2 linked regions of the Bombyx mori genome follow. The protein of the gene in region 2 interacts with the protein of the main gene of each other region in a pairwise test. Links are inferred from orthologs where the notes say so. Each region holds a gene or a part of one and is shown on either strand. Other genes may lie near its edges. The genes, in order: dihydrolipoyllysine-residue acetyltransferase component of pyruvate dehydrogenase complex, mitochondrial; serine/threonine-protein kinase NLK.

Evidence for each region.
Region 1: the proteins of serine/threonine-protein kinase NLK (region 2) and dihydrolipoyllysine-residue acetyltransferase component of pyruvate dehydrogenase complex, mitochondrial interact in a two-hybrid assay, tested with the Caenorhabditis elegans proteins (2 studies listed by BioGRID, with this or other methods). The link is inferred for Bombyx mori from reciprocal best matches to the Caenorhabditis elegans genes lit-1 and dlat-1.

What each region holds. Positions count from the first base shown.
Region 1 is NC_085109.1:9,381,998-9,386,369, forward strand, and holds the end of dihydrolipoyllysine-residue acetyltransferase component of pyruvate dehydrogenase complex, mitochondrial, read right to left. Parts: intron 4,356-4,372; coding exon 4,261-4,355; intron 3,742-4,260; coding exon 3,542-3,741; intron 2,519-3,541; coding exon 2,416-2,518; intron 1,505-2,415; coding exon 1,375-1,504; 3' UTR 506-1,374; downstream 1-505. UniProt on the Caenorhabditis elegans protein: The pyruvate dehydrogenase complex catalyzes the overall conversion of pyruvate to acetyl-CoA and CO(2).
Region 2 is NC_085116.1:3,741,047-3,744,878, forward strand, and holds part of serine/threonine-protein kinase NLK, read right to left. Parts: intron 2,248-3,832; coding exon 2,121-2,247; intron 980-2,120; coding exon 809-979; intron 1-808. UniProt on the Caenorhabditis elegans protein: Has a role in the Wnt signaling pathway controlling the asymmetry of cell divisions during embryogenesis. Operates in the AB and EMS cell lineages influencing cell specification.

The sequences.
Region 1 (4,372 bases), on a different chromosome or scaffold from region 2:
AATAGATCGTGTTTCATTTTTTCACGAATTTTTTACACGCAAGGGCACGACCTGAATGATCTAATAGTTTAAGAAATACATTCATTAGGGAATATTAATATTCCGCTTAACAGACAGAGTAAATTTTAGAATTGTATTGAATTGTCGTCTGTGTGAAAAAAGTTTTTGACTAGCCATTTTTTAATGTCATTGCCATATTATGTTTCCATAGGTATTACTAATTTTGTTTGTATATTTAATATGTATGTAGGTACATAATTATAGTTTTTCAAATTTTTGGTTTGTTTATATTTTTTACTCTGGAAATCAGAACACAACTAACACAAAAGATTGATACTGTTTTTATCCTTTTTAAACTTAACTCTAAACTTCGAGCTAATTTCAGCATTAGTCCAATTCCAATCAGGCGAATTTCATGACAGTAGAAATTGACAAAAACACCAACTGGTGTGAAAGTAAAACTTTATATTAATTTTAATGAAATCCAAAAAATAAAACAAACTCGTCTGTAAGTAAAATATATTTCACTAACGTTCATAAATAATCTAGCATCATCAAAACGTTACAAAGTAACATTACAAAATTTTTAACAAAACAAAATAATGCTTCGTTTCGTTTCAATGCATACATTAGTTTCCATACTGACGTCACAGCTGTAACGAATTATTATTACATATTTACAGTAAATTACAATAAATATGTAGATCTACATTCCGAACCCTACTTCTTTTTAAATTATTATAATAAAATGCGTAAAAATGTATATTTCGTCACGAGATTTTTTTTCGGTCGTTTCTCATAAATCACAATTATAGTTTTATTAAATACGCGCTTTCAGCAAAAGCTCACTCATTAAAAGCGTAACCACAGAATAAATATATAAATTAAATATTAAGAAAACCGCGACGATCAAACTGTTTATCAAAGCTTAAAGTTAAGCTTTTTCTTATTTCGATTAACTACTTTGGTCCTTTGAACGAGCAAAACTAAACTTTTTATTTGTGATCGAAATAAAATGCGAAAATTGTACTAATAATATTGTGATGAAAAAAAAATGTATGTTCTGTGTCCCCGTCTTACGGTGATACAGGACATCCAAAGGAGCCAAAAACACACGAGGCCATCTCTTGACAGGTTACAATAAATTTTACTTTTTTTCTCCCTTTTTTAATACGGATACCGGTAAAAGCGACTATAATAAAAAAATACAACTTGTTGTTAAAAATAAATTAATACCGTTTCAAAACACTTAACCTTAAAATGTCAGTTTTTTTTTTTTTTTTTTAATATCGGAATTAGAAATGTTCGTCTATGTGTATACGTTTTCGCGACATCCTTTCGTTAAGCTGAATTGAGGTAGGACCGTTTCTCTATTTATAAAATGATGTTGGCGGGATCTTCGAGGTTCTCCTTGAATACTTTCATCCATTGAGCGCCGATCGCTCCGTCCACCACCCTGTGGTCGGCCGACGCTGTGAACGTGACGAACTTGGCTGTTCGGAAGCTGGAATAAACAAAAAAATTATGCAATTCTCATGTTGTATTTGTTATTTTAGCTCTTCTACACACACTCATCGCTTTTAATTATTATTATCATAATCCTCTCGCAGGTCTGCTAGAAGAGATTTCTTAAAGAAATAAGCAGTGCCTTTGTACATAATTTTCCTATTACTCTGTACTATGTCTTCTTTTCTGTGTGTACATATTACATAAATAAATAAATAAAATAATAAAGCGGTAGTGAAACATCGTTCGCTTGCAAAACTAAATCCTATAGTTATATAATCCTATAGCTGATATCAGTTTTACTTTTGGTAGTGTCGCTTATCGAGTGTCATTTCCGTTGCAAAACACAACGGTAGAAGTGAAATTTAAAACGTATTCTATCTCTTTCGCTCTTATAGTGTGGATTGATAGATATTAAGTTAATATAAGTTGAATCGTAAATTCGGTGGAAAAAAATTTGGCTTTCTCGTCATGAATATCCTAATAAATGAACACGTATAAAAGACACTATAACTATACTGAGACCTTAGAACTCATATCTCAAGGTGGGAGGCGACATTTACGTTTTAGAGATGTCTATGGGCTCCCTTAATCACTTAACATTAGGTGGGCTGTGAGATCGTCAACCCATATACGCAATAAATAAATAAAACCACAGTAGTCATTATAGTCACAAACCGACACCTTTTGTCCGGAGAGAACGACTCTAGCCGACCTCTGATTATTAGTAGTTTTTAATGGCTGTACACACAAATTGGAACGCTAATGGAAGCTTACGGTGCTGCGGTACGGGGGCTCCAACACGACGTATTCAGACGCGGAAATTATAGTTGGGATTTGACCTGATGACAGGCACGCTGTTGAGTCTATTTGGCTGGTGGTCATGCTGATAGCTAACAAACAACATACCCGTTTGGTTCACTTTGGTCTGGAATGACCAGTTCTTGTACGCCGCCGCAAGCTATAATGAACGACTGGGGGGGATTGATGATGGCGTTGAACATCGTAATACCTGTCGACAACAAACACTTTCGTTAATTACGGAGGTCGCAGCCTAAGGTCTTAAAGAAAACCGAAAATGAATCTAAAGTTTATTAAAATTAAAAAGATTACAATGAAACTTAAACTTAATTAATGCTACTGGTCTGTCTTCCGACGATGTGAGTTCAGAAGTGCGGGCCCCGTGGCTGGCTTCGAAGCTCCATGAGGTAAAGGTGCTGAATCGGCGTCCCCGCACTCATGTGCGTCAATGTGCCATTTACGTCAATGCACCGTTTCTAGTGTGTTGCAATGCTGTCTCAGCGTTCACGACAGTCACGTACGCCAATGTATATATGTGGTAAAATTCCTATTGCATATCGGAATATTACATAAAGTTAGGGTATATAACACGTTATTGTCATTTGTTTTTGTCACCTCTGCCTGTTTTCATCGAATCAATAACACTTCAATAATATAATAATAATAATCGACTGAGTCGGATGGTTAGCGCCCTTAACTGTTGCTTAACTGTTGTTCGATTCCCATATCGGGCAAACATTGTGCGGTGAACAGGTAATGTTTGCTTTTTGTCTGAGTGTTTACTATCTATAATATATGTATATATACGAACGTATCTAAATCAATCACTGGTACCCATAACACAAGGAACCCTAAATTGGGGCCAGACGACCGTGTGTGACTTCTCTTCTTCTTTTTCTCCACCTTATCTCACTAGGTGGGGTCGGCACAGCTGATTTTTCTCTTCCATTCTCTTCGATCAGCCGTCATCTCAATACTCACTCCTCTCTCTCTCATATCGTCATTCACACACTCCATCCATGTCTTCTTCGGTCGACCTCTTCCCCCTCTACCTTGCACTAGCATTTCCATACATCTCCTAGTCAGTCACATGCATCTTCTCTCTACGCATCACATGACCATACCACGCTGAGCGTGTGTGAGTTATTCTCAATTATTTTTATTATTGTTAAAACTCCATCCAAAACGAGATGTCATATGTTTACACAGCTAAACGTAGATAAAGAATACATACCGTACATTCCTAGGTTCGATACCGTGACAGTACCGCCCTGGTACTCTTGAGGTTGAAGTTTACCGTCCTTGGCTTTCTGCGCCAATTGCTTCATGTTCTTCGAGAGGTCGATGATGCCCCGGGAGTCAGCGTTGTGCAGGATCGGCGTGATGAGGCCGGTCGGAGTCGCCACGGCCACACTCACGTCTACGTTGGAGAATCTGATGATAGACAAAAAAAAATTATTTCAAAGAAAAGTCGGTTTCAATATCATGATTAGATGATACATCATTTAACGTTAAAGCTTAGGTAGGTACGTCATTTAAATCCTTTAATAATTCGCTTCGTATGAAAAGACACATAGTGAAATGTGTGCATAGTTTTGATAATAAAGATTTAAAAGGTAAACAATAACTAAGAAACATAATATCTTGTACTATTTAAATCCTTTATTATTATTCTTATTTTTATTTTATTCTTGTATTATTATTTATTATTATTTTATTATTATTATTATTATCCTTTATTTCTAAAATTTATAAATTATTTGTAATAGAATGACGCCTTTATTGAAGACAGGGTCGTGCCTCAGCAATATACGTGAGACACTTCCAAAACTTCGAGATTGTGCGCTACAATGCTTTTAGTTTTTATGACTGGCAACACCATGAGAGCTGTAATACCTTTGAAAGCGTACTACACAAAACAGTTTTAATCAATTATTAATATCTCAAACTTACTGTCTTATGAAAGACTCCATCCAATGTGAGTTGACTGTAGGCACGCGCTTGCAGGCAGCCGCCACGGCTTTAATGATGAAGTCGTTCACTGAAACCTTAAAATTATCATTTT
Region 2 (3,832 bases):
CCCAAATTAGGACAGGCCAACGGCGGATCCAGGGGGGGGGGGTCATGGGGGTCATGGGGGTCATGACCCCCCCCTGAGCTAGTTCCAGGACTTGAACTAACTTGGACTAATTGAAGAACATCATGATTTATTTATTATCTATTGTTATCAAAATTAAATTATAAGTTCTTAGCTTGCCCACGACTATGTGACCCCCTCCTGGCGCCAAAGCTGGATCCGCCCTTGGGACAGGCATACTTATATAAGTCTTTTTTAAGGGATTTTATGACCTGGTAACTAAGACATTTAGGTCAAGTCTTATCTTAATTTATATTTATAATTTTATGAAAAATGATAATATGAAATAAAGTGAAATGAAATGAGATGATATGATATGGTATGAAATATAATCTCAGTAAAATGGACATTTACTGAGACTTTTTCGGTGGACTTTTTGGAGGATCCCGAGAAGTTACGTTCAGCGGCTTTGTTTGATTTTCCCACATTGTTGCACTGTCACAGATACGAAACAGTTAATAAACCACCGTTATTACACATTTAAACCTGAAGAAACACTAAATAGACAAAATAAAACAAATCACACAGCTTCACTCCTCGCGTTCCCGCCAAAAAGTCCTTACATACGTCTAAATATATACATATATTGATAGTAAATACCCAGACATAGACCAAAACAAACCTGTTCATCACAAAAATGTTTGGCCGATGCGGGAATCGAACCTACGACCCTCGACTCGACCTCGACCGATTGCACTACCTATTTTGTTGAACATAATATTATTATCATTGTGAAGCTGACGTCACAGACCTGCGCGAGTAGATGCACGGCCTCGTGTGTGGCTTGAACGGAGAGCGTGTAGAGGGCCGCGAGGGCAGGGGGGCGGGGCGCGCGGCGAAGCATGTGTGCGCGGGCTCCTGCACACGCGTGACGCATATCCTCAAGCGACGGCGTGCCCAGCAGATCAGTTATCAACTCCAACTAGAATTTTCGTTCATATTTTTTGGATGCGAGAACCAACCCGGTGATCGGTGATGCACTGGTGGTAGGACCTCTTGTGATGCACTGGTGGTAGGATATCTTGTGAGTTCGCGCGGGTAGGTACTACCACCCTGCCCCTATTTCTGCCGTGAAGCAGTAATGCGTTTCGGTTCGAAGGGTAGGGCAGCCGTTGTAACTATACTTGAGACCTTAGAACTTATATCTCAAGATGGATGTGCGCATTTACGTTGTAGATGTCTATGGGCTCCAGTAACCACTTAATACCAGGTGGGCTGTGAGTTCGTCCACCCATCTAAGCAATAAAAAAAAACCTTTGTCCCCTAAATACATATTACAGTATAGTATAATCAAGGTCAAGGAAAATCGATTAAAAATTTTCAGAGGGGATGCTTTATCGTCTTTAAGGAACACTTCCTGTGTTGGAATTTGTAACAAACATAAAGTGTGACGTCAATTCTAACAATAGTCCTCTGTCTCTCTCTGTCTAACACTTATATATACATATATAAGTAAAAACAAATGAAATATGTATGTACCATTTCCTCCGGTTTGACAAGTGATTGTCGTTTACCACTCTCTTTGGTTAGGAATTTTAGTACTACCCACTTTTTTTTTTAAATAAAATTTGTATTTGTATTTTGTCTATTTTGTATAATAACAATATACAAAAAAAATTATAAGTGATTATGATAGATTTGGATTTCTGAGCGAATACTAATAAAACTAAGGTCAAACAATTCTATCTCTCATCAAACGAATGAACATTGTACTATACTCTACGTATATACTGTGTTACTTATAATATTTTGTATTCAAGTTTAACAATATTTGCTATGTGTGTGTGCATTACTATAATTCTAATGTTGTATTTGTTATTTTAGATGTTCTACACACACTCATCACTTTTAATTATTATTCTCATAATCCTCTCGCAGGTCTGCTGGAAAAGATTTCTTAAAGAAATAAGCAGTGCCTTTGTACATAATTTTCCTATTACTCTGTACTATGTCTTCCTTTTTATGTGTACATAAATAAATAAATAAAATGAAAAACGCCGATTCTTCTCTCACTTGACTATTGAGTTTGTATGTAATTAACTTTTGACATATGCTACACTCACCTGTTGAACGGGACTCTGTGCCTGGAATAAGATACGCCTGCCAAGTAGCTCGCCGAATATACAGCCGACCGACCAGACGTCAACAGCTGCTGTGTAATGGTTCGCTCCCATCAGAATCTCAGGGGCTCTGGAACATAATCAGAGGTTTTTTTTTTCAAATATCCCCATAGATAACTTTTTTTAATACGCTTTCATTAGCTTCAGACGTGAACATAATTTTGACCCCCTCCAAAACGTCGGATTAACAGGATATTAACAAAATAACCCTTCTACTCATATCTATTCATAAAATATTTATAGCTACTGTACTATACCATGCACTCCACGCTTTTCTTACAGTAAAATCATTTTTTCTTACACTATCTTTAATTCATATTTATTAAGATTTATTTTCTATTTTTAGTGGGATTTTCTATAAAAGCGTATTTTTTTAGTTTTTTAAACTATTATTTATTTATTGCTTAAGTGGGTGGACAACCTCAGAGCCCACCTGGCGTTAAATGGTTGCTGAAGCCCATTGACATCTACAACGTAAATGCGCCATCCACCTTGAGATATAAGTTCTAAGGTCTCAGTATAGTTACAACGGCTACCCCACCCTTCAAACCGAAATGCATTGCTGCTTCACGGCAGAAATAGGCAGGGTGGTAGTACCTACCCGCGCTGAATACCTGCCTTTTTATTAACGTATGCGTCTCTGTCCTCCTTGAAGTATTGCATTGTTGATAAGGAAGCAACCGTAACATCATTAAGTCTCAAAATAACTAAAGATAGACATCGTCAAGGCCCGTGTCACTCAATGAACGTTTCCAACTAATCCGACCAGAATGTCGTGAAATTCCAAACAAAAGACCTTCGAAACAATCACGAATTATTAAAAAGTTAGATTTTACTCAATTGAACTTTTTGGATGACGGATATAAAATACTTCTAATTTAAAAACTAAGAAAACACATTTAAATAACAATTAATTTAATCTTTCTTTCTTTCATCCTGTTGATACTGATCAGGACAACAATTTTATATCTTCGCTCGATATAAAGCGAATTATTACCTATATATTAATACGTGAAGCAAAAACTTTCTATCCCTTTTTAAGAAAATTGCGCGGACGGAGAAGTATGAAATTTTCCACACTCATAGGGAATATAGAGAAGAAGTTCACAATGCTAATATTTTTTTTAAATAAAGCATAAAAGATACATTAAATCAATAAAGAAAACATTACACACACTACATACCAAGTATTTGACGCACACACGCATGCATACTATTAATTGTCAAGCTTTTGTTCTTGACGTCTGTTGTCAAATTGAGAATTCATTAAATATTGTTTGTCTTTATTAATATTATTTATAGCCTTGGCGAAATTTGTGATTATAGAAGTATAAGATACAATCATAATAGTGTACAAACATATTATACAATTCCAATTAATTATAGTCGAATTTCGACTACTGCGGGACTTCTAATGTTAATAATTATATAATATTACTAGCTGACCCGGCAAACATTGTTTTGCCATATATAAGATTTATAGGGAATTTCTAGTGTAGAAAAAAAACTAACTTATTGTAAGTGTGTAAGGATGTGGTAAATGAGTGAAAGAGGTATGTAGCGCTGTAAACGATGAGGGAATATATAATAAAAATAACAAAACCTCATTCAACCACATAATACCTCATTATAACAAAAAAAAAAGACCAAATAAA